Linked DNA regions of Drosophila melanogaster. The protein of the gene in region 1 purifies or fractionates together with the protein of each later gene. This does not show direct contact. Each region holds a gene or a part of one and is shown in the gene's direction. Other genes may lie near its edges. The genes, in order: Prp8, Brr2 and CG4849.

Region 1 (8,516 bases):
CGGATTATTAAATTATTTCGTTTACGACGCTCGCGTTTAGTGCGCATTATTATTGTTTATTGAAAGTATCTCGAGTGGAACTTGGTCGAGACTTATGATTAAATTTATACACCCAATTGCCTCACCTTCCTTTCGCAGATAAGAGAGATTTTATATGTATTTCGTCTACTGTTTAAAAAGTGACCCAATACGATTGTTAGAGATAAGTCTGCACAGTTTGTCACTTGAAGATAAGTAGTTATTGGAAAAACGGGGGCTCCTAAATTAATAAAAAAAAGCGTGAGATTTGACATCATCGCCAATATCAATTGGATTTCAGCAGTCATTCATTGAAATGAAGAGCCAGTTTAAAAATCAAAGTGTCATGATCACATTAAGCTTTAAATGTAATTATTGCACTTTTGGCTTCAATGATTCAAAAGCATAGCTACATTTCTAAAGAATATTAACCAATCCATATATAGTAACTTACAGAGAGTTATGCTTTGTATCTGTATCTATGATTTGATGAGCCTGATAGATAGTATCTCAAGTTGACTACTCTTTCCGATTAAATTGTAAAGTTTTGGGTAATATTTTTGAAAAGAACTGTGAGGTTTGAGTACTTTCCCAGCTAATCTTGGCCCGAAAATCATTCAACAGCTGTTCACTCCACTGTGCGTCTGTCTGTCTGCCCATTAAATGAACGATAAAACATGCCGAATATATTTACATATATACCCCATCTATGTGATATGGTGGCCAGGGGCTGTGGGCTGTGGGCACTCGCATGAGGAGATAACGATATAAACGGCGGCGGAAGAGTCTCCGAAAAACAGTCGAGACTGGAGCGTCGCCGGGTTTACACGATCCGAGAGCTTTGCATCGCAGAAACAGAAGAAGAAGAAGGCATTGAAGTCCATATCCTATACCGAAGCTATCATGTTGAAGGCGGTGAGTGTGTGGTTCCAAGGGGCGGACCTAATCTAATCGCCGGTTCAGATATGAAAGTGGCTTCAATTTAATTTACTATCAATACCCATCGATTCACCTTGATTACTCCGGATGTTTGGCCCGCTGCAGATTATCGTTTTTGCCACTATCTTGGTGGCCGTGGCCATGGCCATGCAGCCACTGGAGGACAATGAGCGAACCCATCATCTGAACCACAAGCGCCAGTTGTCGCAACAGCACCACCACCACCACCAAAAGCTCCAGGAGGTGAGGCATTCGGGCCATGATAGTCTGAAACATGGTGGTTCCCACGTTAAGGAGCATCAAGCGCATCACTCTGAGCGAAAGGCCAGGCAGAGCCACAAGGAGCCGGGCCACAAGAAGAGTCACCACCAGAAGGAGCACCGCCAGCAGCAGGACAACCACACCCGCAAATCCCGATCGCATTCCAAGGGCAGCAAGCAGCATCACAAGCGGCACACGGGATCGCGTCGCCACTAGGATAATCCTGTATCCTGTGGCCAGGATATATTCTATTTAAACTCTAGCCAATGGATTCCTTATGCGAGGATTAAACTCCGAATACAGTAAACACTCGTATAATTGCATGTATGGCAACAGTAAAGCCAATCTATTTAAATGTTTACAAAACTACTGTGAAATATAAGCCATGACCAAATAAACACACATTTCATAAATGATATTAATATCCACAAGCAGCTTCAACTTTTAATAATTTGGAACACTTGATGTAGGAAATGCATTTAACTTGGATTTTAAGTTGAAAAACAGGTAGTATTTCAGAGAATTATGAGTTTTAAATAGTTTATGGCCGCAATAACTAACTTCTATAGTATGGTTTTCTTTTGAAATTTTACAAAGAGTTATATACTATATAAACTTCTGGCTGATATCCATTGTATAGACCAGCTTTCTTGTGACCCCGTTTATGGCCTGAAATTTGGCCATGTGGATCGTTAAAGATAGGTCCAACTAAAGGTTCAGATGTGTGTAATTACTCGACTTGGCCAACTCGGAATTTTGCTGGCCGGCTTATGTATGTTACGTTAGCCGCCTCAATTTCTTTGGAAGTTCAAAAAACAAAAAAGAAATCCGGTTTTGGACAATTGAAATTTGAAAATAATAAACCACACATGCGAGCGTAGTCGTACGTAAAGTGTTTTTTGTTTTTGTTTTGTTTTTATTGCAATAAAGCCGGTGTTAATTGTGCTCTGGGGTCAAAAACTGCCGCTGACGTCATCAACTCGTCGTTGCAAGACAGTGAAAGGGTTAAAATTTCAAAACTGGGGGGCTTGCTTGTATAACTTCTTTGGTCACTAGTGCGATTACATAGGATTTTGTGGATTAAGGAACGTATGTCCATATGTCTGAAACTTCTTGCTTAAGGAACGTTTTTCGGTCTGGCATCATAGTATTATCCCCAAACTGGGTAAATTCGGGGACGATAGAATCCGCCTCCGTAGGAGCGATATCCGCCGTAGCCGCCGTAACCGGAATATCCGCCGTACTTGTAGCCACCTCCATAGCCGCCGTAGTAAATTGGCGATGGAGCTGCATAGTAGCCGTAGCCAATGGAGTCCGCGGTGGAGAGATCAGCCTCCTCAGCGGGTTTCTTGTCCTGCCAAGCGAATGGATTTTGTTGGTTGGTTTTGAAATGGAAAAACTAAAGATATGACCTACCTCTATAGGAGCTGCGCTGATGAATCCGATAATAGCCAGGCACAAAAGGATGGAAAATAACTGAAAATGTTCACAACATTTACTCATTATGATAGAAACACTTTTTGTTTGTGTGTAATACCTTTGCCATTGTTGCTTTTATTTGCGAAATTTAACGGGGATGCACTCTAGATTTTATGTTTTTCTCTCAAATTAGCAACTTTTCCCGATCGTGTTCTGGCCAGAAGCGTTGTTGTCCGTAAACTGTGATCCCCAGCGACCTGCCGACAATATTTATAGTGGCCCAAAACGTCCCGGGGATCGATTTTGCACATGATCATTGATTGGACAAACATTCGGGAGTCTGGGGATGTCGTTACCCGATGCGAAATGAGGTGTTTCATTATCACAGATGACTCGATGGGATCTTCCAATTCGGTTATTTGAATTTCTAAGCTACAGTGAGCATTAGTTAATGGCCAAAGAAAAAGTTATTTAGTGTTTTATTTATTCGGTTTGTTGTTAGCTAAAGTCGACTGTGTGTTCTTATTTTTACCAGTCATCAACAATAATATTGACGCACTACACTAATTAAGTTCCTAATTATTAATATTAACACATTTGTTGACGAGCTGATTCATTGATTTAATTACAAGGATTTAGCCTTAATTAAAAATGCTAATGTCTCGATATTTTTTACTACTACAATACAAAGTAATTTAAGTGAATAAGGCTAATTAGTTTTAGTCGTCGCAGTTTTGGTGAATTTGTAATATATTCCCCAATAACACCGTTATTTAAATTTTCAAATTTGCTCGCACTTTGTGTGGTTATCTTGACTGCTTTTTACCACTAGACTGTTTAGCAATTCACCTAATCTCTCGATAGACGATAGATGTCTTATCGATTGAGTGATGTGACCGTTCTACTATTCTATAAATGGCTGCCGCATGAAAAAGTAAACCTCTCGTTTTGCGAACCGGAAAAATTGTGAATTGCGGCCAAAGAAAGGCAGAAAAAGTGCCAAATAGGCAGTACAGTTGCAAATTAACTGCCAGGTAAGATATTCAAACCAAGATTAGCTGGGGGAAAAGCGAAATTTACGCTTTTTCACAGCGTGGTGAAAATTGCAAAAGACCGCGACGTCGGCGGCGGCATTTCGATTTCTCCCCCTGAAACAAAACGTGTCTGTGTGTCGTAAAGTGTATGTTTTTCGTCGTTTATTGATTAGGATAAGTGCCGCGGAACGATGTCCATTCCGCCGTACATGATACCACAAAATGCGTGGGCAGCCCAGCTGATGGCCCAGCAGGCCTACGCGGCTGCCCATGCTCAGCAGGCTCAACTGCACGCCCAGCAGCAGATGGCCAACCAAATTCAGCAGATTCCGCCACCGGGGGCTCCGCTGCCGCCGGCCGGTGGCCATACCAACGGTATACCCATCCCGGTGGGAGGTCAGGGACCCGGATTGGGCCAGATTCCCACGCCCAAGCCGGACATACTCACCGAGGAGAAGCTGCAGGAGAAGGCGCTTAAATGGCAGCATCTGCAGTCCAAGCGATTCGCTGAGAAGCGCAAGTTTGGCTTCGTGGATACCCAGAAGGAGGATATGCCGCCGGAGCACATCAGGAAGATCATTCGCGATCACGGAGATATGACGTCGCGCAAGTATCGTCATGACAAGCGAGTATATCTCGGCGCCCTGAAGTACATGCCACATGCTGTGCTCAAGCTGCTAGAGAACATGCCAATGCCATGGGAGCAGATCCGGGATGTCCAGGTGCTGTACCACATCACTGGAGCCATTACCTTTGTCAATGAGATTCCCTGGGTTATTGAGCCCGTCTACATAGCACAATGGGGGTAAGTTGACTTTAACTTGTCCTCGTGGACACAACTGACGTTAAACACTTCCGCAGTACAATGTGGATCATGATGCGGCGTGAGAAACGCGATCGTCGCCACTTTAAGCGCATGAGATTCCCGCCATTTGACGATGAAGAGCCGCCTCTAGACTATGCCGACAACGTGCTGGACGTGGAGCCCTTGGAGGCCATTCAAATTGAGCTGGACAATGACGAAGACAATGCTGTATACAAATGGTTTTATGACCATCGTCCTCTAGTGGATACACAGTGAGTTTTGATTTGTCATTTATATCTGATCTTGTTTTGATTCATTTATTACCATCTAAGGTTTGTGAACGGCACTACCTACCGAAAGTGGAATCTTTCCCTGCCTCAGCTAGCCACGCTGTATCGATTGGCCAATCAATTGCTCACCGATCTAGTCGACAATAACTTCTTTTATTTGTTTGACCCAAAAAGTTTCTTCACCGCCAAGGCTCTTAATATGGCCATTCCAGGAGGACCTAAGTTTGAACCCCTCATTAAGGACCACAATGTTGGGTAAGACAATGCATACCCTAAATACTTGTTAAAATGTAATTCCTGCTTTTATTTAATTTTAGGGACGAGGATTGGAACGAGTTCAATGACATTAACAAAGTCATTATCCGGCAGCCAATTCGCACGGAATACCGCATTGCCTTTCCTTACTTGTACAACAATATGCCACACTTTGTGCATTTGAGCTGGTAAGAGTCCACATTCTTCAAAAATTACCATTCTAAAATCTTATTTACGTGGTTAGAAACGTTTCCAAGTGATCAGCCTCTCTGGAAATGCTTCATGCCGCGTTAGAAAAACGACGAGCTCCCAGGTTACTGCCAAATTTGCGATAAAACGGGAGCTGCAATGAATATGTTCGTGGCGATTGTTAAGAATTAATCGTGACTGCTGATAGTTGCATACATATAAACTCATTTGTAGCTTAGAGGATCCACATGACCACATGATGTACTTTGTCTATTTCAGGTATCACACTCCCAACGTGGTCTACATCAAGACCGAAGATCCCGATCTGCCTGCATTTTACTTTGATCCGCTCATCAATCCCATATCCCATCGCAATGCAAACTCGAAGATTCAGGAGCCCCTACCTGATGACGACGAGGACTTTACTCTTCCGGACGACGTGCAGCCGTTCCTGCAGGACACTCCCCTGTACACTGACAACACTGCAAACGGAATCGCCTTGCTGTGGGCACCCCGCCCCTTTAACATGCGCTCTGGTCGCTCCCGTCGTGCCATCGATGTGCCGCTGGTCAAGTGCTGGTACAAGGAGCATTGTCCACCTGGCCATCCGGTTAAGGTGCGCGTTAGCTACCAGAAACTGCTCAAATACTATGTGCTCAATGCCCTAAAACACCGCAAACCAAAGCCACAAAAGAAACGGTGAGTTTTATTTAAATCAAACTATAGAAACGTTTTGAATTGTATCCTTACTTTGCAGCTACCTCTTCCGTTCGTTTAAGGCCACAAAATTCTTCCAGACCACAACTCTGGATTGGGTTGAGGCTGGACTGCAAGTTTGTCGTCAGGGATATAACATGTTGAATCTATTGATTCACCGAAAAAATCTTAACTACTTGCATTTAGATTACAATTTCAACTTGAAGCCCGTTAAAACTCTGACCACCAAGGAGCGTAAGAAGTCGCGATTCGGAAATGGTAAGCAGTTAAATTTCTAAAAATTTCCCTTTTATCAATTCCTTTCATTCCTATTAGCTTTCCATTTGTGCCGTGAGATCCTGCGTCTGACCAAGCTAATCATTGACTCTCATGTTCAGTATCGGCTAAACAATGTGGACGCCTTTCAGTTGGCTGACGGACTGCAGTACATATTCGCCCATGTTGGCCAGCTGACTGGCATGTATCGCTATAAATACAAGCTGATGAGGCAGATTCGAATGTGTAAGGATCTGAAACATTTGATATACTATCGCTTCAACACGGGGCCCGTGGGCAAGGGACCCGGATGTGGCTTTTGGGCACCTGGATGGCGAGTCTGGCTGTTCTTTATGCGCGGCATCACTCCGCTACTGGAACGCTGGCTGGGCAATCTATTGTCGCGTCAGTTCGAGGGTCGTCACTCCAAGGGTGTGGCCAAGACGGTGACTAAGCAGCGTGTTGAGTCCCACTTTGATCTGGAGTTGCGTGCCTCCGTGATGCACGATATTGTGGACATGATGCCCGAGGGCATCAAGCAGAACAAAGCTCGTACCATTTTGCAGCATTTATCGGAGGCATGGCGTTGCTGGAAAGCGAACATTCCGTGGAAGGTGCCTGGTCTACCCATTCCCATTGAGAATATGATCCTGCGTTACGTGAAAATGAAAGCCGACTGGTGGACAAACACGGCTCACTATAATCGGGAACGTATACGACGTGGAGCAACCGTCGATAAGACGGTGTGCAAGAAGAATCTGGGGCGACTAACGCGACTCTATCTGAAGGCGGAGCAGGAGAGGCAGCACAACTACTTAAAGGACGGTCCGTACATATCACCGGAGGAGGCTGTGGCTATTTACACAACCACGGTCCATTGGCTGGAATCACGTCGCTTTGCGCCCATTCCCTTCCCACCACTTTCATACAAACACGATACCAAGCTGCTAATATTGGCCCTTGAGAGGCTAAAAGAGGCGTATAGCGTTAAGTCCAGGCTGAATCAAAGTCAGCGTGAGGAGCTGGGCCTCATCGAACAGGCCTACGATAATCCTCACGAGGCGTTGTCCCGCATCAAGCGTCATCTGCTCACGCAGCGAGCCTTCAAGGAGGTTAGTTATCACTATTTCTATCTGTATTTGAAATAACTTTAAGACTTGTATTACTATCTTAGGTGGGCATTGAGTTCATGGACTTGTACAGCCATCTGATTCCAGTCTACGAAGTGGAACCCCTGGAAAAGATTACAGACGCATATTTGGATCAGTATCTGTGGTATGAGGCTGACAAGCGTCGATTGTTCCCGCCATGGATCAAGCCCAGCGACACGGAGCCGCCACCATTGTTGGCCTACAAGTGGTGTCAAGGTATAAAGTTGGAACTGGTTTCAAAAGAACATAGTTGACGGCGGTACCGGGCATTTTGGGTGTGTGATTTGTAGCAAAGTGATATGTATTTGATCATCCCCTTGTTGCAAACCTCACGCCAAAGATGATCTGCGAAATACACAGTGGTATGGAAAAAAAAGGAATATAGAACCCCTTTGATACTATCTCTGGCTTAGCTTATTCGTATTTTTCTCCTCAACAGGCATTAACAATCTGCAGGATGTTTGGGATGTGGGTGAGGGCGAGTGCAATGTGCTGCTGGAGTCTAGATTTGAAAAGCTGTACGAGAAAATTGACTTGACGCTGCTTAATCGTTTGCTCCGCCTGATTGTCGATCATAATATCGCCGATTACATGACGGCCAAGAACAACGTTGTGATCAACTACAAGGACATGAACCACACGAACAGCTACGGCATCATTCGCGGTCTGCAGTTCTCATCGTTCATCACACAGTACTATGGACTGGTGCTAGATCTCTTGGTTTTGGGTCTTCATCGATCCAGCGAGATGGCTGGCCCACCCCAAATGCCGAACGATTTCCTCACGTTCCAGGACACAGTCACAGAAACGGCACATCCTATTCGATTGTACTGCCGCTATGTCGATCGTATTCACTTGTTCTTCAGATTCTCAGCGGAGGAGGCTCGCGATCTGATCCAGCGCTATCTTACCGAGCATCCGGATCCGAACAACGAAAACATTGTGGGCTACAATAACAAGAAGTGCTGGCCACGCGACGCTCGTATGCGTTTAATGAAGCACGATGTTAACTTGTAAGTCTCCATTTACTCAACAACCACTTTGAAAGCGCGTAACGATGAATTTCTTTTGTTTTACAGGGGTCGCGCAGTCTTCTGGGACATTAAGAACCGACTACCTCGCTCTGTGACCACCATTGGTTGGGAGAGCACTTTCGTTTCGGTGTATTCGAAGGACAACCCCA
Region 2 (11,861 bases), on another chromosome or scaffold:
ACAAGGTTCTTCGTCCTTTCCTGTTGCGTCGCCTCAAAAAGGAGGTAGAGCACCAGCTGCCCGACAAGGTCGAGTACATCATCAAGTGCGACATGTCCGCGCTGCAACGCGTTCTCTACAAGCACATGCAGAGCAAGGGTGTCCTGCTCACCGATGGTTCCGAGAAGGGCAAGCACGGCAAGGGAGGCGCTAAGGCGCTGATGAACACGATCGTACAGCTGCGCAAGCTGTGCAACCATCCGTTTATGTTCCAGCACATAGAAGAGAAGTACTGCGATCACACTGGCGGCCACGGAGTTGTATCCGGTAAGTTTATCTTGTTAATTTTTTGGTATATTTATATTTACATTGGTATAATCTAATCTTTTTCAAATTAAAGGACCGGATCTGTATCGTGTCTCTGGCAAATTCGAGCTGCTTGATCGCATCCTGCCCAAGCTGAAGGCGACCAATCATCGCGTGCTGCTCTTCTGTCAGATGACCCAATGCATGACCATCATCGAAGACTACCTGGGATGGCGCCAATTCGGCTACCTTCGACTCGACGGTACCACGAAGGCCGAGGATCGTGGCGAACTACTGCGAAAATTCAACGCCAAAGGCTCGGATGTATTTGTCTTTTTGCTATCTACCCGAGCTGGTGGTTTGGGTCTTAATCTGCAGACCGCCGATACTGTAGTAATCTTCGACTCCGATTGGAATCCCCATCAGGATCTGCAAGCCCAGGATCGTGCCCATCGTATTGGTCAACGTAACGAGGTGCGCGTCCTGCGACTAATGACAGTCAACTCGGTGGAAGAGCGCATCTTGGCAGCAGCCAGGTACAAGCTGAACATGGACGAGAAGGTCATCCAGGCTGGTATGTTCGATCAGAAGTCAACGGGTAGCGAGCGACAGCAGTTCCTACAAACGATTCTGCACCAGGATGACAACGAAGAGGAGGAGGAAAATGAGGTGCCCGATGACGAAATGATCAACATGATGATCGCCCGCAGCGAGGAGGAGATTGAAATATTTAAGCGCATGGATGCTGAGCGCAAGAAGGAGGATGAGGAGATCCATCCGGGTAGGGAACGTCTGATCGATGAGTCCGAGCTACCCGACTGGTTGACAAAGGATGATGACGAAGTAGAGCGTTTCCACTATCAGTACGACGAGGATACCATTCTAGGTGAGTTACACTGCTCGCTGTTATTTAAACATTTTTCTTACGATAACTATTCCGCCTTAGGTCGAGGCTCCCGGCAGCGAAAGGAAGTAGACTACACCGATAGTTTGACTGAAAAGGAGTGGCTGAAAGCCATCGACGATGGCGCTGAGTTCGACGAGGAAGAGGAGGAAGACGATTCGAAGCGCAAGCGACGAAAGCGTAAGAATCGGAAGGAAGAGTCCGACGATGATTCGTTGATCCTAAAACGGCGACGACGCCAAAATCTGGACAAGCGGTCCAAGAAGCAGATGCACAAGATTATGAGTGCGGTTATCAAGCACAACCAAGATGGACGAACCCTGTCCGAACCGTTCATGAAGTTGCCTTCGCGGCAGAGGTTGCCCGACTACTACGAGATCATTAAGCGGCCAGTTGATATTAAGAAAATCCTGCAGCGCATTGAGGACTGCAAGTATGCCGATCTCAACGAGCTGGAGAAGGACTTTATGCAGCTATGCCAGAATGCACAGATCTACAACGAAGAGGCGTCTCTGATTTACCTGGACTCGATTGCCCTGCAAAAGGTATTCGTTGGGGCCAGGCAGAGGATAACAGCTGCAGCGGATGCAGCCGCAGTGGCAGCCGGAGATAACACGGGTGAAGCGCACGGCAATGGAGGTTCGGATAATTCGGACAACGACGACGACGATGGTGGCGATGACGGCTCCGACGACGAGGAGATTGCAACCACTTCAGCGGCGGCTGTCAAAATGAAGCTGAAACTGAACAAATCTCTGGCTAGTGCGCCCGCTACGCCCACGCAATCATCGTCGAATGTGAGCAGCGGAGCGGCTACCACATCCAAGAAGCAGACGCGTCGCAAGCGCTCCCAAAAGAAGTACACTATTTCAGACGATGACGACGATGACATGGACTAGCTACCGTTGGGAGTGATCTTCAAGCGCGGATCGTCGGATGTCGAAGGCATGGGCAATTGATTATTAATTAGTTTAAGTTTTACTTTCAAGGACGATGCTTACCAAAACCCTAGCCTACGGGTTTTTTTAACCATCTAACCTATCATGCTATCACTTTTATCTATACTAATTTTCTAGTTGTAGGTTCTCGATTAAGTTTCCTATTCAATTATTTTCGCACACACCATTTATTTCTCCCAATTCTATTGATTGTATAATTATGTGCTTTAAAATAAATGCATACCTAACATAAAGTAAATCGAAAAACTTGTCATTAATGGACGGCGGATTGCTCCTTGAGAGATTGTTCAACCTAGACCAGGCTGGAATTAGTAACAAAGATCTTATTTAAATCGGTACCTAAATGAATACATCGCTGCTAGCGTATAAAGGAAATGGTTTTAAATATATCAAAATGGGAAAATTATGATGTTTCGTTTAATTAATAAGTTGTATTTTAGGAAGTCTTACAGTAATTAAAATTAGCTTCAGCATTTCTACTTATTACATTTATAACTAAGCTCCTTCAAATAAATGCATACTTAAACATATTGATATGCTTGGTAAGACTAAAGCAGGTAGTGGAAGTACTCGTCGCACATCTCGTGGACACTAGCGGTGTGCTCCTCGTCGCCGCTATCACTGCTTCGCAACGTGATTTTGTGTGCATTGGCGTACAAGTCGTCCTCATCAACAGCCGCATCGTCGGTTTCTATTAATTGAAATTGCAAAAGTGATGTGGCAGAAATGATAGTGGACGTAACTTCGTGACCTCACCTCGGTACTTTTGTTTGCGCCTCAACCGTTGCTTGGAGCTTGAGAGCACTGCTTCGTCGCCCAGATCCAATTCGTTTTCGCGGGAGTTCCGGGAGTAACGAATTGGCGGTGCCAGGAACCAGTAGGATTGCATGATGCCTTTGAGACCCGGCATTTGACGCAGTTCGGCCAATTTGAGCGGCTGCCTGGACAATGCTTGGAAAGATCGCAGCTGCAGTGTGACTGGTTGCGAAGTGCAGTTGATCAGCCTAATTACGGACTTCGCGGCTGTGGAGCAGACCATGGGATATATTTTGACATCCGGATCCGTCGGGACATTGGTGTAGGCCACTCCCAGCGATCTGCGGTTCAAATAGAACTCCAAGTGCCCACGCGTTCGATCCAAACAGACACCAATCAAGCAGCCCTGCGAGAACTTCTGGCCGTAGGGCAGTAACTCGCCACAGTGCTGAATCCTTCCGGAATACGAAAAGCCCCAGGACTGGGCATTGGTGCCCAGGGCCGAGACAAAGTGAAACTTGAACTGCCCTAGATTAACGCTTTCCGTGCCGATGCCGAACATCTAGGAAAAGTTATAAGAAAAGAAAGGCAATTATAAAGAGAACATTATTTACATTGAACTTTAGCTGGCTTATCATCTAGTTGGGGTGTCTGCTGAGATTTCCTCCTCCCGCTGCGTCTGTTATCTTATCGCCGCGTTGTAATCTGTAATCCATAATACAACGAAGCGAACAATCAAGTCGTCTCCAATGGAAACGAGCACACCAGATGCCTGGTTAGTTGTGTTCTATTTTAAGGCGGCGACTTTGAGTGACATTCATCATGCTGAGCATCCCAACTAGTTGCCAAGCCGGCCTGATAACTAACCACATCCGTGCCGGCCAGAGTCGTGATGACGCGCATCTCCCAAAAGTGCACCATGTTTGTTTTTAGGGCCTGTTCCCCTCTCACAATCGCCGTGCCCTGACTGTAGGTGGGATGGAAGATGATGTCCCGGTCGGTGACCACGGCATCCGATTCATCAGTGGCGTGCCACCGCCAGGCATTCACGTTTCCGGACTCATCCTCGCCGCATTGGCACCTGACCAGGTCGGGTATATGGCCCTTGTGGTTGGTAACCTCAATGGAGTTGGGAAACGGGCAATCACAGAAGCCGGGATTGCAGGCTTCTTGGTACGGGGGCAGCAGCATGCTGGCACTTGTTCCTCTTCACTGGTTTACCTTCGATTGCTTTGTAATGAATTGTGTCAGCCGTGTACAATGATCTCGAGCAGTCGACGGACCACAAATGTTTCCAGTTAAACCAGCTGCAGCCTCATATATAAGCACATTACTCTGATCTGACTGAACAATAAACAAAACGATGCGTTGTAAATAGACGTCGGCATCGCTGCCGACGTCGCCGCCAGTGTGACCGAAGCCGCAGTTCGGAACTTAAAATATACTAGATATATCTCAATTATGAGAATTATGGTCAAATTTATAGCAATTTCTTTTGTGGATTGCTAGTGCGTAGGAAATTTTGGTGTTTACAAAAGCTAAAAAACCAGTATTCAAATTTTAAATAGAATGTTGATGGGCTACATTTTTAAAAACTTAGATGCGCGCGCTAACGATAGGTTTCCTACAAATGGCAGCCCTGATATCGATTTTCAGTTGGCTTCGCACATATGGCATCTCTTTAGCCTTTTGACAATCTGGCAGCACGCGTAGCCACAAACAGCGGCTTTTCACTACGATATTTCCGCAAAAAGTTGTAAAATAGGTTAATAAAAGTGCTTAATACTTATAAAAACAACTAAACAGACATGGCGGATGCCGCAGCACGTCAGCTGCAATACGAGTACAAGGCGGTAAGTGTCAAATCCCGCCCGGGAAAACTTCTCCCACTCCATGCGGCGTCTCACCAGAATTTCACAAACACGTTAAATGTATTTTCCATTTTTCAGAACTCCAATCTTGTGCTGCAAGCCGATGTCCGACTCATCGAACGTCCGCGCCGCGATGAGGCCACTGGCGAGGTGTGTTCCCTGGTGGGAAAGCTGGACGGAACAAGGATGGGAGATCGGTACCAGCGAACGAAGCCGGAGAAAACGGAGGAGCGCAAGGTGAAACGTCAGAAGCGCGACGAGGCCCAGTACGATTTCGAGCGGATGAAGGGAGCCACTCTGCTCTCCGAGGGCATTGACGAGATGGTGGGCATTGTGTATCGACCCAAGACCCAGGAAACTCGTCAGACCTACGAGGTCCTGCTCAGTTTCATCCAGGAGGCTCTGGGGGATCAGCCCAGGGATATCCTGTGCGGTGCCGCTGATGAGATTCTGGCTGTCCTCAAGAACGATCGTTTAAAGGATCGGGAGCGAAAGAAGGATATAGACAGCTTGCTGGGCGCAGTTACAGATGAGCGATTCGCTCTGCTGGTTAACCTGGGCAAAAAAATCACAGACTTTGGCAGCGATGCCGTGAATGCTTTGACTGCTGCTCCCAACAACGAGGAGCAGATCGATGAAACCTACGGCATCAATGTTCAGTTTGAGGAATCCGAAGAGGAGAGCGACAACGACATGTATGGCGAGATTCGCGACGATGATGCCCAGGATGAAGGAGAGGAGGCCCGCATTGATCACACACTGCATGCAGAGAATGTGAGTAATGTAGTTAAAATTGCGAATCCCATTTCTTATTCGTGTATCCCTTCCCAGCTAGCCAACGAGGAAGCCGCAAATAATGTAAAGAAAGAGCGCTCCTTGCATCCTCTGGACATAGATGCGTATTGGTTGCAGCGTTGTCTGAGCAAGTTCTACAAGGACGCCATGGTGTCGCAAAGCAAAGCCGCCGATGTGTTGAAGATCCTCAAAGATGCCGCCGACGATCGCGATTGCGAAAATCAATTGGTGCTTCTGCTGGGCTACGATTGCTTTGACTTCATTAAGCAATTGAAGCTTAACCGGCAGATGGTCCTGTACTGCACCATGCTCGCCTCGGCCCAAACGGACAGCGAGCGGCAAAGGATTCGCGAGAAGATGCGCGGAAATTCTGCGTTGGCCAAAATCCTTCGGCAATTGGATACGGGAAAGTCAGAGGATCAGGAGGAGGGCGAAGCACGGGGAAGCAAGCGTGGCAAAGGCGATGCAGAGGATGGTGGAGCGGCGGCTGCCGGGCAGGTGGCCGGTGTGCGACAGCTACTCGAGTTGGAAGAGATGGCATTCACTCAAGGATCTCACTTTATGGCCAACAAGCGCTGTCAGCTTCCCGACGGCTCCTACAGGAAACAACGAAAGGGCTACGAGGAGGTGCACGTGCCTGCACTGAAACCCGTGCCATTTGATGCCAATGAGGAACTTCAGCCTGTGGACAAGCTTCCGAAATATGTGCAGCCTGTGTTCGAGGGTTTCAAGACCCTTAATCGTATCCAAAGTCGTTTGTACAAGGCCGCACTGGACAGTGATGAGAATATGCTGCTGTGCGCCCCTACTGGAGCTGGTAAAACTAATGTGGCACTGCTAACCATGATGCGGGAGATTGGAAAGCACATCAACGAGGATGGCACCATCAATGCGCAGGATTTCAAAATCATTTACGTGGCTCCCATGAAATCGCTGGTGCAGGAAATGGTTGGCAATTTTGGACGACGTCTTGCTTGCTATAATCTGACGGTCTCTGAGTTGACTGGAGATCACCAGCTGACCAGGGAACAGATCGCCGCCACGCAGGTGATTGTGTGCACACCAGAGAAGTGGGATATCATCACTCGAAAGGGAGGCGAGCGTACCTTTGTGAGCTTAGTCCGGTTGGTTATCATCGATGAGATTCACTTGCTCCACGACGAGCGTGGTCCGGTGCTTGAGGCCCTGGTGGCGCGTACGATAAGGAATATTGAAACTACCCAGGAGGAGGTGCGATTGGTGGGCTTATCTGCCACACTGCCCAACTATCAGGACGTGGCCACCTTCCTACGCGTAAAGCCCGATAAAGGCCTCTTCTACTTTGATAACAGCTATCGGCCTGTGTCCCTGGAGCAGCAGTATATCGGTGTGACGGAGAAGAAGGCCCTAAAGCGATTCCAGGTGATGAACGAGATCGTTTATGAGAAGACCATGGAGCATGCTGGGCGTAATCAGGTCCTGGTCTTCGTACACTCGCGCAAGGAGACTGGAAAAACGGCCAGGGCTGTGAGGGACATGTGCCTGGAGCAGGATACCCTTGGTAGCTTTCTTAAGGAAGGATCAGCAAGCATGGAAGTGCTGCGGACTGAAGCCGAACAAGTAAAGAACACAGAGCTTAAGGAGTTATTGCCCTACGGCTTCGCCATTCATCATGCTGGAATGACCCGCGTCGATCGTACTTTGGTGGAAGATCTATTTGCTGATCGGCACATTCAAGTTTTGGTTTCCACCGCCACGCTAGCTTGGGGTGTCAATCTCCCTGCCCATACTGTAATCATCAAGGGCACGCAGGTATACAATCCGGAAAAAGGACGTTGGGTGGAGCTGAGTGCTTTGGATGTACTGCAGATGTTGGGTCGTGCTGGACGACCGCAGTATGATACCAAGGGTGAGGGTATTCTTATAACCAATCACAGTGAGTTGCAGTTCTATCTCTCCTTGCTCAACCAGCAGTTGCCGATTGAGTCCCAATTCATCTCCAAGCTTCCTGACATGCTCAATGCGGAGATTGTGCTAGGAACGGTCCAACATCTCCAGGATGCAGTTAACTGGTTGGGCTACACTTATCTGTACATTAGAATGCTGAGGAATCCCACGTTGTACGGAGTTTCCCATGATGCCATCAAGGCTGATCCTCTGTTGGAACAGCATCGTGCTGATCTCCTGCATACCGCAGCTTGCTGTCTGGAGAGAAGTGGCCTTATTAAATACGATCGGAAGACGGGACACTTTCAGGTTACTGATCTGGGACGCATTGCCTCTCACTATTACCTAACCCATGAAACCATGCTGACTTACAACCAGCTCCTTAAGCAAACTCTTAGTGAGATTGAGTTGTTCCGCGTATTCTCCCTATCCTCGGAATTCCGGCATATTTCCGTCCGAGAAGAGGAAAAGTTGGAGCTGCAGAAGCTCATGGAACGAGTGCCCATTCCCATTAAGGAGTCCATTGAAGAGCACAGTGCCAAGGTGAATGTTTTGCTGCAAGCCTATATCTCCCAGTTGAAACTGGAGGGCTTTGCATTGATGTCGGACATGGTGTTTATTACCCAATCCGCTGCCCGTTTAATGAGAGCCATTTTTGAGATTGTATTGACCCGCGGATGGGCTCAATTGGCGGACAAAACGTTGACGCTCTGCAAGATGATCGACAGAAGAATGTGGCAATCGATGACACCACTTAGGCAGTTCAAGAAGATGCCCGATGAGATTGCCAAGAAGCTGGAGAAAAAACACTTCCCCTGGGGCAGGCTTTACGATCTAGAGCCACATGAACTTGGTGAGCTGATTAGAGTGCCCAAGCTAGGAAAGACCATCCACAAGTTTGTGCACCAGTTCCCCAAATTGGAGCTCTCCACGCACATTCAACCCATAACAAGGGGAACTCTGAGAGTGGAACTAACAATTACACCGGATTTCCAATGGGATGAAAAGGTGCATGGCCAGTCGGAAGGTTTCTGGGTTTTAATTGAAGATGTCGACTCGGAACTCATTCTCCATCATGAGTTTTTCCTGCTGAAGCAGAAGTATTCCCAAGATGAGCACCAGCTTAAGTTCTTTGTGCCTGTCTTTGAACCTCTGCCACCGCAGTACTTCCTTCGCATTGTCTCAGATCGTTGGATAGGTGCAGAGACCCAATTACCAGTTTCTTTCCGACACTTGATTCTGCCCGAGAAGAATATGCCACCTACGGAGCTTTTGGATCTCCAACCGCTTCCTATTAGTGCACTCCGGCAGCCGAAGTTTGAATCCTTTTATTCGCAACGCTTCCCGCAATTCAATCCCATTCAGACACAGGTCTTCAACGCAGTCTACAATAGTGATGAGAATGTCTTTGTTGGAGCACCAACCGGATCCGGAAAGATGACTATTGCAGAGTTTGCCATCATGCGCTTGTTCACTACCCAATCCGATGCCCGATGTGTATATTTGGTCTCGGAGGAGGCATTGGCGGACTTAGTTTTTGCGGATTGGCATAGCAAATTTGGATCCCTGGACATAAAAGTGGTTAAATTGACCGGCGAAACTGGAACCGATCTTAAGCTCATAGCCAAGGGACAGCTGGTGATCACTACTGCGGATAAGTGGGATGTGTTGTCTCGCAGATGGAAACAGAGGAAGAACGTACAATTGGTGAACCTGTTCATTGTGGACGAACTGCAGTTGGTTGGTGGCGAAGAAGGTCCCGTTTTGGAAATTGTATGCTCCAGGATGCGATACATTAGCTCGCAGATTGAGAAACAGATCAGAATAGTGGCGTTGTCTGCATCGCTAACGGATGCCAGGGATGTCGCCCAGTGGCTGGGCTGTAATCCCAATGCCACTTTCAATTTCCACCCCAGCGTGCGTCCCATTCCGTTGGAGCTGCACATCCAGGGCTATAATGTCACTCACAACGCCACCAGAATTGCTACGATGTCCAAGCCTGTTTACAATGCCATCCTCAAGTACAGCGCCCACAAGCCGGTGATTGTGTTTGTCTCGTCCAGAAAGCAGGCCAGGCTCACTGCAATTGATGTTTTGACCTACGCAGCATCGGATTTGCAACCCAACCGTTTTTTCCATGCTGAGGAGGAGGACATCAAGCCGTTCCTCGAACGAATGACGGATAAAACTTTGAAGGAGACCCTAGCGCAAGGAGTGGCCTATCTCCATGAGGGCCTATCCGCCTCAGATCATCGCCTGGTGGAGCAGCTGTTTGACTCTGGCGCCGTGCAAGTAGCTGTTATCTCCAGAGACCTTTGCTGGGGCATGAGCATCTCCGCTCACTTGGTGATCATCATGGACACACAATTTTACAATGGCAAGAATCATTCGTATGAGGACTATCCCATTACAGACGTGCTGCAAATGATTGGTCGAGCCAATCGGCCGAACGAGGATGCGGATGCCAAATGCGTGCTGATGTGCCAGAGCAGCAAGAAGGACTTCTTTAAGAAATTCATCAACGAGCCGCTGCCCATCGAAAGTCATTTGGATCATAGAATGCATGATCACTTTAACGCCGAGGTGGTCACCAAGACAATTGAGAACAAACAGGATGCCGTTGATTATCTCACCTGGACGTTCCTCTACAGACGATTGACCCAAAATCCCAACTACTACAATCTGCAGGGTGTCACGCATCGCCATCTCTCCGACCATCTTTCGGAGTTGGTGGAGAATACGCTGAGCGATCTAGAACAGTCCAAGTGTATTAGCGTGGAGGATGATATGGACACGCTGCCACTCAATCTGGGCATGATTGCTGCCTACTATTACATCAACTACACAACTATCGGTATGAAGCATTAGATTTAAGTTTAGGCAATTGTCATCTTCATTTTCCTATCATTTTTTCCCAGAGCTCTTCAGTTTGTCCCTCAACAGCAAAACAAAAGTGCGGGGCCTGCTGGAAATTATTTCATCGGCAGCTGAGTACGAGGATGTTGTGGTCAGGCATCATGAGGAGCAGGTTCTGCGCACGCTGTCTCAGCGACTGCCCAACAAACTCACAGGACCCAATGAAACGGCTCCAAAGTAAGCAACCCATACATTTAGATCTTAAAAAGAATTTTACCAATGTTATTTTTAGATTCAATGATCCGCACATCAAGACCAATTTGCTGCTTCAGGCTCATCTTTCGCGATTGCAACTGGGACCTGAACTGCAAGGCGATACGGAGCAGATACTGAGCAAGGCCATCCGCCTCATTCAGGCCTGCGTAGATGTGCTGAGTTCAAATGGCTGGCTGTCGCCGGCTGTGGCTGCCATGGAGCTGGCTCAGATGGTCACGCAGGCCATGTGGAGCAAGGACTCGTACTTGAAACAGTTGCCGCACTTTAGTCCCGAGATTGTCAAGCGGTGCACAGAGAAGGTGAGAGTAACAACAAGTGAATCTCTAGGATTATCTCATGTTTCGTCGTATATTTCAGAAAATCGAAACCGTTTTCGATATCATGGAATTGGAGGACGAGGATCGCACTCGCCTGCTGCAGCTCTCCGATTTACAAATGGCCGATGTTGCTCGATTCTGCAACCGTTACCCCAACATTGAGCTGAACTATGAGGTGGTGGACAAGGATCGCATCAACTCAGGATCAACCGTTAATGTAGTGGTTCAACTGGAACGTGAGGATGAGGTCACTGGCCCAGTCATTGCTCCATTCTTCCCGCAGAAGCGCGAAGAAGGATGGTGGGTCGTCATAGGTGATCCCAAGACCAACTCCCTGCTCTCCATCAAACGGCTCACGCTGCAGCAAAAGGCAAAGGTCAAGCTGGACTTTGTGGCACCTAGTCCGGGCAAACACGACTACACTCTGTACTACATGAGCGATTCCTATTTGGGTTGTGATCAGGAGTACAAGTTTTCCATCGAAGTGGGTGACTTCCAGTCGGAAAGCGAAAGCGAGTCAGATTAGTTTTCTTTAGGATCATCAGTTGGGCATGTTTGCACAAATGAAAATCAATCATTTTACAATTTACGCGCATTAATTGTAGCAATAATAAATTCGTGTACTACTTTAGTAGAAACCAAATTGTACAAGGATACACTGAGGATAATTATATAAAGTAGTACAAAAAAAAAAAAAAACAAAATAAAAAAAACCTTTCAACTTTCTTTCGCTGGTTGATACCAAGAATCTAAATATTTTGTAGTCAACAGTGCCAATTCTTATATTGTCTTAAGCTTTTAAATTTCGTATGGAACAATTCAAGTTTGTTGTAATTTGTAATCTGGATCATCAAAATGCAACCGTTTAGATTTTAAAAAAATCATTCAAATTATTCATTCAAATTCAATTCAATCA
Region 3 (9,733 bases), on another chromosome or scaffold:
AAGAAACAACCTGTTGATTGGGTTTTTATTGGTTTCTGCCCGCCTCACCTGTGCTGTTTGTAAGGATTGGCTAGAATATTGCGCAGTTTGGGCAGCAATTTCTTTTTGCCCTTAGCTTCTTTCTGTTTTATGCTGGACAAACTCATGTTTACGATATAAACTAATAAAAAATAAAAAATTTCTGCTGAAAAATCAAACAACAATGTGTTTGGCTTTTGGCCAGTGTGACCGCGTTTCTTAGTTTAAAATAAGCCATAGCTTAAATCGCGTTGCCAATTGCTTTACGTTTTTATTTAAATTAAAACTCTTAATTTTTGCTTCTAAAAATTTTTAATCAAACTCTTAATTTTTATTTGCAATCATTTTCAGTACCAGTAAAGTTCCGGCTCCGTGTCCGAAGAGTACTTCAATTTTCTCGGTCTCTGGCGAACGTAATCTTCGACGAAATTCAATTGCCTTGGTGTTGTGGTTTCTACTTGAGTTTCTACTATTTCCGTTGTTGTTAAATTAAATCCAAATGGTGTTGATAATGTAGAACTTTCCTCTTCGGTGCTGTCAATCACTGCATCCAGATACGACGTGGTAGTTTCCACGCCCGGAGTCGTGGCAATGATTTCCAGCAAGGATGTAGTAGATTCCTGGGTTTCTGTGGTTGAAAACAATTCTTCTGTTGAAGTTTCTGCTGTTTCAGTTGTAGTTTGATCTGTGGATAATGCAAACGTGGATTCGTTCGGTTCTGTGGTAGAATCAGCAGATTCAGTCGTTGATTCCGGCAATTCTGTAGTGCTTGGATTGATTTCTATTTCTGTGGTAGTTTTTATTAGTTCTTTCTCTGAAAATTCAGAACTTAAAGTAGTCGTTGATTCCGGAAATTCCGTAGTACTTGGCATAAACTCTGTTGTTGTTGATTCCTGCAATCCTGTAGAGCTCTGAATGGTTTCTGTAGTAGTTTCTTGCCATCCTGTAGATAAATCTGGATAAATTAACGTTGATTCAGCATATTCAGTACTGTCTGAATTGCTTTCTGTCGTTGAATCTGCAGCTTCTGGACTCGAAGTTGTTGTGGAATATAGGGCTACTGATTCAGTGGCATCTATAGCATCTGTGCTGGTGACTTCCGGCCAAGCTGTTGTCGTGGAATATAAAGTATCCGTGGTTGAAGTTACATAACTAGATTCGGTGGTTGAATAATCCACCGCCGTAGTTGTAGATTCCTCAGTGGCACTTTTCTCCGTTGTAGTAGATACTTCCCCAGTGAAGTAGCCAGTAGTCTCCTGCGGATTGGTGGCCACCGTAGTTGTGTCCCAAAAATCTCCATCGAACGGATTGGTAAAATTTACGATGCGCGGCTTGTAGGGTGTGTAGATTTTGGCTTTGTAAGGCTTGTGGTTCTTGATGTATTCCTTGGCTATGCTAATCCACTCCTCGCGACCGAGAATATCGTTTAAATTTCGGCTTGAGGCCACAAAATGCGCCATTAAAAGAAGCAAACAGAATTTTCTCATTATGATGCTGATACCTTCGGTTGACACTTTCGACTAATTACCTTTGGCGACTGCAGTGCAATATAAACGCAAGGGTCTACCTACGTTTCAACGCGTATTTTAGCTACCTGCTTTCTTGGCAAAAACGTTAATTAGCCCTAATGAACTGGAAAATTCAAATGTTGCCGCCAGGGCTGCAAGCGCTTACTTTATTTGTGCTGGCAATGCCGTAGGTAATGCCGGCCGCTTAACAGCTGAGTGTTTTTCGGGGAAGAAGAAGAACAGCGTGTTTGCAGTCCGCGTTTTTGTGTAAAAATTGTGAATAATTATATTATTTGCAGTTTTCTTACGTTTTAAAGAAGAATTTAGCAATCAGAAGGTCCTGTAACAATTGGTAAGTCGGTAAAAACAACAAAAAACAAGAGTAGCATAAGTTTCGAGTCACCGTGAAAGTTTTAAATTTTCTAAGACGCCACCGGCAAATTTTGAATGAAAGTATTGATATATATATTTATTTTAGGAAAAACCATGGATTCCGATTTGTACGATGAGTTTGGCAACTATATTGGCCCCGATTTAGACAGCGACGAGGAAGATGAGCAAAGTATTTATGGGCAACCCGATGTGCAGGATGACCCAGAGGTATAAACGTGCAAAAAATAAAATAAAACTTATAATTAATTTATGGTGTTTCATTTAAAGGACGCCATGGACGAGGACGAGGTGGAGCCACAGGAGGACGAGGACAAGGAGGTGACCGCCGTGGTTTTGCACGAGGACAAACGCTACTATCCGTCAGCAGTTGAGGTCTACGGCCCGGATGTGGAGACCATTGTCCAGGAGGAGGACGCCCAGCCGCTGGACAAGCCGCTTATAGAGCCAGTGAAGAAGCTCAAGTTCCAGATCAAGGAGCACGTGGGCATCTTGACAGATGCACTGGTGGCCATTAGACGGACGAGGTGAGTTGGTCGCAGGCTCAAGGAAACCAATAGGCAGGAGAAACGCCGCGAGTTTATGGCGCGTAGGGAGCTCTCCAGGCCGAGATGTATTCCGTATCGAGTGGCAAACGATTTGGTCTGCCCGTCGCTGCTTTTAATTGCATTCTGAAGGATCTGACGGAACTGCTGCACTTCCTCCTCCGATAAAAGAGGGCTAAAGTCAAAAGAAACAACCTGTTGATTGGGTTTTTATTGGTTTCTGCCCGCCTCACCTGTGCTGTTTGTAAGGATTGGCTAGAATATTGCGCAGTTTGGGCAGCAATTTCTTTTTGCCCTTAGCTTCTTTCTGTTTTATGCTGGACAAACTCATGTTTACGATATAAACTAATAAAAAATAAAAAATTTCTGCTGAAAAATCAAACAACAATGTGTTTGGCTTTTGGCCAGTGTGACCGCGTTTCTTAGTTTAAAATAAGCCATAGCTTAAATCGCGTTGCCAATTGCTTTACGTTTTTATTTAAATTAAAACTCTTAATTTTTGCTTCTAAAAATTTTTAATCAAACTCTTAATTTTTATTTGCAATCATTTTCAGTACCAGTAAAGTTCCGGCTCCGTGTCCGAAGAGTACTTCAATTTTCTCGGTCTCTGGCGAACGTAATCTTCGACGAAATTCAATTGCCTTGGTGTTGTGGTTTCTACTTGAGTTTCTACTATTTCCGTTGTTGTTAAATTAAATCCAAATGGTGTTGATAATGTAGAACTTTCCTCTTCGGTGCTGTCAATCACTGCATCCAGATACGACGTGGTAGTTTCCACGCCCGGAGTCGTGGCAATGATTTCCAGCAAGGATGTAGTAGATTCCTGGGTTTCTGTGGTTGAAAACAATTCTTCTGTTGAAGTTTCTGCTGTTTCAGTTGTAGTTTGATCTGTGGATAATGCAAACGTGGATTCGTTCGGTTCTGTGGTAGAATCAGCAGATTCAGTCGTTGATTCCGGCAATTCTGTAGTGCTTGGATTGATTTCTATTTCTGTGGTAGTTTTTATTAGTTCTTTCTCTGAAAATTCAGAACTTAAAGTAGTCGTTGATTCCGGAAATTCCGTAGTACTTGGCATAAACTCTGTTGTTGTTGATTCCTGCAATCCTGTAGAGCTCTGAATGGTTTCTGTAGTAGTTTCTTGCCATCCTGTAGATAAATCTGGATAAATTAACGTTGATTCAGCATATTCAGTACTGTCTGAATTGCTTTCTGTCGTTGAATCTGCAGCTTCTGGACTCGAAGTTGTTGTGGAATATAGGGCTACTGATTCAGTGGCATCTATAGCATCTGTGCTGGTGACTTCCGGCCAAGCTGTTGTCGTGGAATATAAAGTATCCGTGGTTGAAGTTACATAACTAGATTCGGTGGTTGAATAATCCACCGCCGTAGTTGTAGATTCCTCAGTGGCACTTTTCTCCGTTGTAGTAGATACTTCCCCAGTGAAGTAGCCAGTAGTCTCCTGCGGATTGGTGGCCACCGTAGTTGTGTCCCAAAAATCTCCATCGAACGGATTGGTAAAATTTACGATGCGCGGCTTGTAGGGTGTGTAGATTTTGGCTTTGTAAGGCTTGTGGTTCTTGATGTATTCCTTGGCTATGCTAATCCACTCCTCGCGACCGAGAATATCGTTTAAATTTCGGCTTGAGGCCACAAAATGCGCCATTAAAAGAAGCAAACAGAATTTTCTCATTATGATGCTGATACCTTCGGTTGACACTTTCGACTAATTACCTTTGGCGACTGCAGTGCAATATAAACGCAAGGGTCTACCTACGTTTCAACGCGTATTTTAGCTACCTGCTTTCTTGGCAAAAACGTTAATTAGCCCTAATGAACTGGAAAATTCAAATGTTGCCGCCAGGGCTGCAAGCGCTTACTTTATTTGTGCTGGCAATGCCGTAGGTAATGCCGGCCGCTTAACAGCTGAGTGTTTTTCGGGGAAGAAGAAGAACAGCGTGTTTGCAGTCCGCGTTTTTGTGTAAAAATTGTGAATAATTATATTATTTGCAGTTTTCTTACGTTTTAAAGAAGAATTTAGCAATCAGAAGGTCCTGTAACAATTGGTAAGTCGGTAAAAACAACAAAAAACAAGAGTAGCATAAGTTTCGAGTCACCGTGAAAGTTTTAAATTTTCTAAGACGCCACCGGCAAATTTTGAATGAAAGTATTGATATATATATTTATTTTAGGAAAAACCATGGATTCCGATTTGTACGATGAGTTTGGCAACTATATTGGCCCCGATTTAGACAGCGACGAGGAAGATGAGCAAAGTATTTATGGGCAACCCGATGTGCAGGATGACCCAGAGGTATAAACGTGCAAAAAATAAAATAAAACTTATAATTAATTTATGGTGTTTCATTTAAAGGACGCCATGGACGAGGACGAGGTGGAGCCACAGGAGGACGAGGACAAGGAGGTGACCGCCGTGGTTTTGCACGAGGACAAACGCTACTATCCGTCAGCAGTTGAGGTCTACGGCCCGGATGTGGAGACCATTGTCCAGGAGGAGGACGCCCAGCCGCTGGACAAGCCGCTTATAGAGCCAGTGAAGAAGCTCAAGTTCCAGATCAAGGAGCAAGACATGCAGGAGACCACCTACGACATGGAGTTCATGGCCGATCTCATGGACACTCCGCCGCTTATTCGCAACGTGGCTTTGGTTGGCCACCTGCACCACGGCAAGACCACCTTTGTCGACTGCCTCATCCGGCAGACGCATCCGCAATTTGAGACCATGGAGGAGCGCCAGTTGCGCTACACGGACACCCTGTTCACGGAACAGGAACGCGGCTGCAGCATCAAGGCCACGCCGGTCACACTTGTCCTGCAGGATGTCAAACAGAAGAGCTACTTGCTGAACATCTTCGACACCCCGGGGCATGTCAACTTCTCGGACGAGGCCACCGCCGCCATGCGAATGAGCGATGGTGTCGTGCTGTTCATCGATGCCGCCGAGGGCGTCATGCTCAACACGGAGCGACTGCTCAAGCACGCGGTGCAAGAGCGCCAGGCTATCACCGTTTGCATAAACAAGGTGAGGGTTTGGCCTTAAGGTGACACTAAACTTTCTAATGGTTTCCTCTGACGTGCAGATTGATCGCCTCATCCTGGAGCTGAAATTGCCGCCCCAGGACGCCTACTTTAAGTTGAAACACATTGTGGAGGAAGTCAATGGGCTGCTGAGGTGATTACGTGATTCATACTCAACACTAATGATTTTACTAATGTGTAATTTTCTTACAGCACCTATGGCGCTCCAGATGACAATCTCTTAGTTTCGCCTATTTTGGGCAACGTGTGCTTCGCCAGCTCGTTGTACGGATTTTGTTTCACTCTGAAATCCTTTGCCAAGCTGTATGCAGACACCTATGAGGGAGTGGCTTACCTGGACTTTGCCAAGCGGCTCTGGGGTGACATGTACTTCAACAGTAAAACGTAAGTGCTGCCTAAATATCCAAATCATTTGCTAATACCAACTATTTTAATAGGCGCAAGTTCTCGAAGAAGCAGCCGCACAATTCGGCACAGCGCAGCTTTGTGGAGTTCATTTTGGAGCCCATGTACAAGCTGATAGCCCAGGTGGTTGGCGATGTGGACACCACTTTGTCGGACACTCTGGCCGAGCTGAATGTGCGCGTCTCCAAGGAGGAGATGAAGTCCAATATAAGACCACTGCTGCGTCTCGTCTGTAACCGCTTCATGGGCGACTGCAGCGGTTTTGTGGATATGTGCGTGGAGCACATTAAATCCCCTTTGGAAAATGCCAAGCGAAAGGTGGACCATATATACACTGGACCCAAAGAGGGTGACATTTACCGGGATATGATATCATGCAACCAATACGGCACTCTGATGGTGCACAGTTCCAAGATGTATCCCAACGACGACTGTACCTTCTTCCAAGTGCTGGCGAGGATTGTCTCTGGTACTCTACACGCTGGCCAGGAGGTGCGTGTCCTGGGAGAGAACTACACCTTGCAGGATGAGGAGGACTCTCGCATTCTGCAAGTCGGTCGTCTGTGGGTATTTGAGTCTCGTTACAAGGTGGAGTTAAATCGTGTACCCGCCGGAAATTGGGTGCTCATCGAAGGCATCGATCAGTGTATCGTTAAGACCTCCACAATTGTGGATATTAATGTTCCAGAAGACCTCTACATATTCCGACCACTGAAGTTCAACACCCAGAGCATTATCAAGATTGCTGTGGAGCCAGTGAATCCATCCGAGCTTCCCAAGATGTTGGATGGCCTCCGCAAGGTGAATAAATCCTATCCACTTCTCTCCACTCGAGTTGAAGAATCCGGCGAGCATGTTATTCTGGGCACTGGCGAGCTGTACTTGGATTGTGTCATGCACGATCTGCGGAAGATGTACTCCGAGATCGACATCAAAGTGGCGGATCCCGTCGTGGCTTTTTGCGAAACAGTTGTGGAAACGAGTTCCCTGAAATGTTTCGCCGAAACGCCGAATAAGAAAAACAAAATAACCATGATCTCGGAGCCACTGGAGAAGGGACTGGCCGAGGACATTGAGAACGGAACCGTCTGCATAAACTGGAACAAAAAGCGCATCGGCGAGTTCTTCCAAGTCAACTACGATTGGGATCTGCTTGCGGCGCGTTCCATTTGGGCCTTCGGTCCCGACTCCACGGGTCCAAATATCCTGGTCGACGACACCCTGCCCTCGGAAGTGGACAAGAACCTGCTGACCGCGGTTAAGGATTCGATTGTGCAGGGCTTCCAATGGGGAACGCGAGAAGGGCCGCTGTGCGAGGAGCCAATCCGTAATGTCAAGTTTAAGATTCTCGATGGCGTCATCGCCAACGAGGCGTTGCATCGAGGCGGTGGACAGATCATTCCAACAGCCCGTCGTGTGGCATACTCGGCGTTTTTGATGGCCACCCCACGTTTAATGGAACCATATCTATTTGTGGAGGTTCAGGCGCCGGCAGATTGTGTATCCGCTGTCTATACTGTGCTGGCCAGGCGCAGGTAAGTTTTGCTGCTCATGTTTCCGTAAGAGAATGCCTCTAAATTTTATATAATCTATTTTGCAGAGGCCACGTAACGCAGGATGCTCCCGTATCGGGTTCTCCCATATATACGATCAAAGCCTTCATACCCGCCATTGATTCATTTGGATTTGAGACGGATCTCCGCACGCACACCCAGGGCCAGGCCTTCTGCCTTTCGGTGTTCCATCACTGGCAGATAGTGCCTGGCGATCCCCTGGACAAGAGCATCATAATCCGGCCACTGGAGCCGCAGCAAGCATCCCATTTGGCCAGAGAGTTTATGATCAAGACGCGTCGCAGGAAGGGTCTGTCCGAGGACGTGTCCATCAACAAATTCTTCGACGATCCTATGTTGCTGGAGTTGGCACGCCAGGATGTGCTGATCAACTACCCGCTTTAGACTTCCCACAAATCAGGAATCGGGAAAACAAATAAAACATTTAGACATACTTTCCGAATTTCAATTGCGAACTTTAAAGGGAGTAGTGTTTTTTTTTACTATATTTACTAAATATTTATTTGAAGCCTTTTCGGGACAAATAATTTACAAAATAGTATACAGAAAACAGCTACAGTTGTGATAGTTTCTAGGACTTTACTCGCCATTGCCGTTCTGCAGGACCTCCGACTCGTAGCCTTCCTGCTCGGCCTGCTCGTCATCGAACTCCACTTCGTCGTCGGCGGTAGCCTCCTAAAGGAGGAAACCAATGGAAATCGTTTTTAGAGATACTTTGCAAGGATATGGAGGGATCGCTAACCTGGTACTGTTGGTACTCGGATATCAGATCGTTCATGTTGCTCTCGGCCTCGGTGAACTCCATCTCGTCCATGCCCTCGCCGGTGTACCAGTGCAAGAAGGCCTTGCGCCGGAACATGGCAGTGAACTGCTCGGAGATGCGCTTAAAGATCTCCTGGATGGCGGTCGAGTTGCCAATGAAGGTGGCGGACATCTTGAGCCCACGGGGCGGGATGTCGCAGACGGCCACCTTGACGTTGTTGGGAATCCATTCGACAAAGTAGCTGCTGTTCTTGCTCTGCACGTTGTACATCTGCGTGTCCACCTCCTTCATGGACATGGGTCCTGTTAATTATTGAGAGAGCGTTGAAACAAAATTGCCTTCGTACAATCTTCCTGTGCGCATTTAAACATTTACATCAAAAGACAAGTTCGCTTTGATGCGCCGGCGGAATCCCCAAATCCCTGAATATGAAATACTAAATGGCTTCCAAGTTCTGCCTGCGCACCTGGCCGGGCACCTGCACTGGGATCTCAGCTCGGAGCTTGGGAATGGAAACAGTGAAAAAGTCCCAGGAGGTAACTAAAAAAGTTGTTTAAATTCCTGCTCGCTGGCATTTTTTCCGCACATTTTTGTGATTAATTATTTTGCAAGTATTTCTGGCAGTCGGTCGGAGACGATAACGAATCCTGAGATGGTGACGCCGGATCTGGGCTGAACCTGGGCTAAGCTTGAGTGCGGGTGCGCTGGAACGCAGTGCAGGCCAAGTCACGTTCGGCATGATTAGTTGGGCCTGGGGGCCGTGTCAGGCGGCGGTCGCAATTCCCCAATGGATCTTGAAAGTAAATTTCTAATTACGCGCGTTTTGCGAGTCATCAGTCAAAAGCAAAGGGGCCAAAGCGGCGCGAGCGCACACAAGGAATAGCAAATGAAATATTATGCGGCACACTTTTGGGCGCCGCATCGCAGTTTATTAATTTAGGAATTAGCGCGAAAAAAAAAAAATGCGAAGCAACCTTTTCGGTGGGCGTGGCGAGGGCGGCATGCCACGATGCCATGGCTAACAAATTTGCGCTACGTGCGCGTTGACGGATTGCAGCCTTTTTAGCCGCCAGCCAGCGGGCATTAATCATTTTTAGTGGCGCCCATAAGTAGTAGGCCCAGTGCTCGGCTTTCGCTAATAAAATCGTCGCCAAAGCCAAGCCCCAGGAGTCCAAGGTGTTGGCCAGGGGCGGCTGTGTCGTTCTATTCTAAGGGGGTGTCCTGCAGATGCGGCTCAGATCTCTATCTATACGATGTCTTCCTTGTCAGACAGTCCTTTGGTTTGGTTTGGTAATACTACCACTAGTTTTGGTAATTGCTTAGTTTTCAGCCTTTCAATTTTTTTCTTATTCTAAAAACCGCTCCTTGCGGATCCCTTGATCCGCCCCTGATGGCTCGACTACGTGCCTGCGGGTCCGGAAAAGCGGCGGACAGGTGCGCCGCCGACTGCCCATGACAAAGTGACAAAGTTGA

The links.
Region 2: the proteins of Prp8 (region 1) and Brr2 purify together in Drosophila melanogaster (affinity purification with western blotting; 2 studies listed by BioGRID, with this or other methods). This does not show direct contact.
Region 3: the proteins of Prp8 (region 1) and CG4849 purify together in Drosophila melanogaster (affinity purification with western blotting; 2 studies listed by BioGRID, with this or other methods). This does not show direct contact.

Annotation. Positions count from the first base shown.
Region 1 is NT_033778.4:12,158,040-12,166,555, reverse strand, and holds the start of Prp8 (pre-mRNA processing factor 8), read left to right. Parts: upstream 1-3,557; 5' UTR 3,558-3,671; intron 3,672-3,844; 5' UTR 3,845-3,862; coding exon 3,863-4,476; intron 4,477-4,532; coding exon 4,533-4,748; intron 4,749-4,808; coding exon 4,809-5,021; intron 5,022-5,083; coding exon 5,084-5,209; intron 5,210-5,252; exon of another isoform or gene 5,253-5,430; intron 5,431-5,489; coding exon 5,490-5,909; intron 5,910-5,967; coding exon 5,968-6,185; intron 6,186-6,242; coding exon 6,243-7,294; intron 7,295-7,356; coding exon 7,357-7,549; intron 7,550-7,585; exon of another isoform or gene 7,586-7,684; intron 7,685-7,772; coding exon 7,773-8,346; intron 8,347-8,412; coding exon 8,413-8,516. Other genes in the region: CG34232 (uncharacterized protein), read left to right, coding at 1,045-1,434; CG13177 (uncharacterized protein), read right to left, coding at 2,369-2,572, 2,635-2,694, 2,756-2,764.
Region 2 is NT_037436.4:15,960,604-15,972,464, reverse strand, and holds Brr2 (Brr2 U5 snRNP complex subunit), read left to right. Parts: upstream 1-4,592; 5' UTR 4,593-4,712; coding exon 4,713-4,757; intron 4,758-4,853; coding exon 4,854-5,549; intron 5,550-5,606; coding exon 5,607-10,350; intron 10,351-10,414; coding exon 10,415-10,589; intron 10,590-10,644; coding exon 10,645-10,927; intron 10,928-10,985; coding exon 10,986-11,471; 3' UTR 11,472-11,629; downstream 11,630-11,861. Other genes in the region: brm (brahma), read left to right, coding at 1-306, 380-1,171, 1,232-2,088; CG10516 (uncharacterized protein), read right to left, coding at 2,697-2,839, 2,905-3,466, 3,772-4,095. UniProt on the Drosophila melanogaster protein: Catalyzes the ATP-dependent unwinding of U4/U6 RNA duplices, an essential step in the assembly of a catalytically active spliceosome. Plays a role in pre-mRNA splicing.
Region 3 is NT_033777.3:27,959,030-27,968,762, forward strand, and holds CG4849 (uncharacterized protein), read left to right. Parts: upstream 1-4,385; 5' UTR 4,386-4,524; intron 4,525-4,650; 5' UTR 4,651-4,658; coding exon 4,659-4,772; intron 4,773-4,832; coding exon 4,833-5,501; intron 5,502-5,559; coding exon 5,560-5,651; intron 5,652-5,710; coding exon 5,711-5,902; intron 5,903-5,955; coding exon 5,956-7,458; intron 7,459-7,523; coding exon 7,524-7,881; 3' UTR 7,882-7,929; downstream 7,930-9,733. Other genes in the region: CG42487 (uncharacterized protein), read right to left, coding at 49-146; CG31253 (uncharacterized protein), read right to left, coding at 366-1,505; CG31131 (uncharacterized protein), read right to left, coding at 3,012-4,151; betaTub97EF (beta-Tubulin at 97EF), read right to left, coding at 8,077-8,172, 8,240-8,562.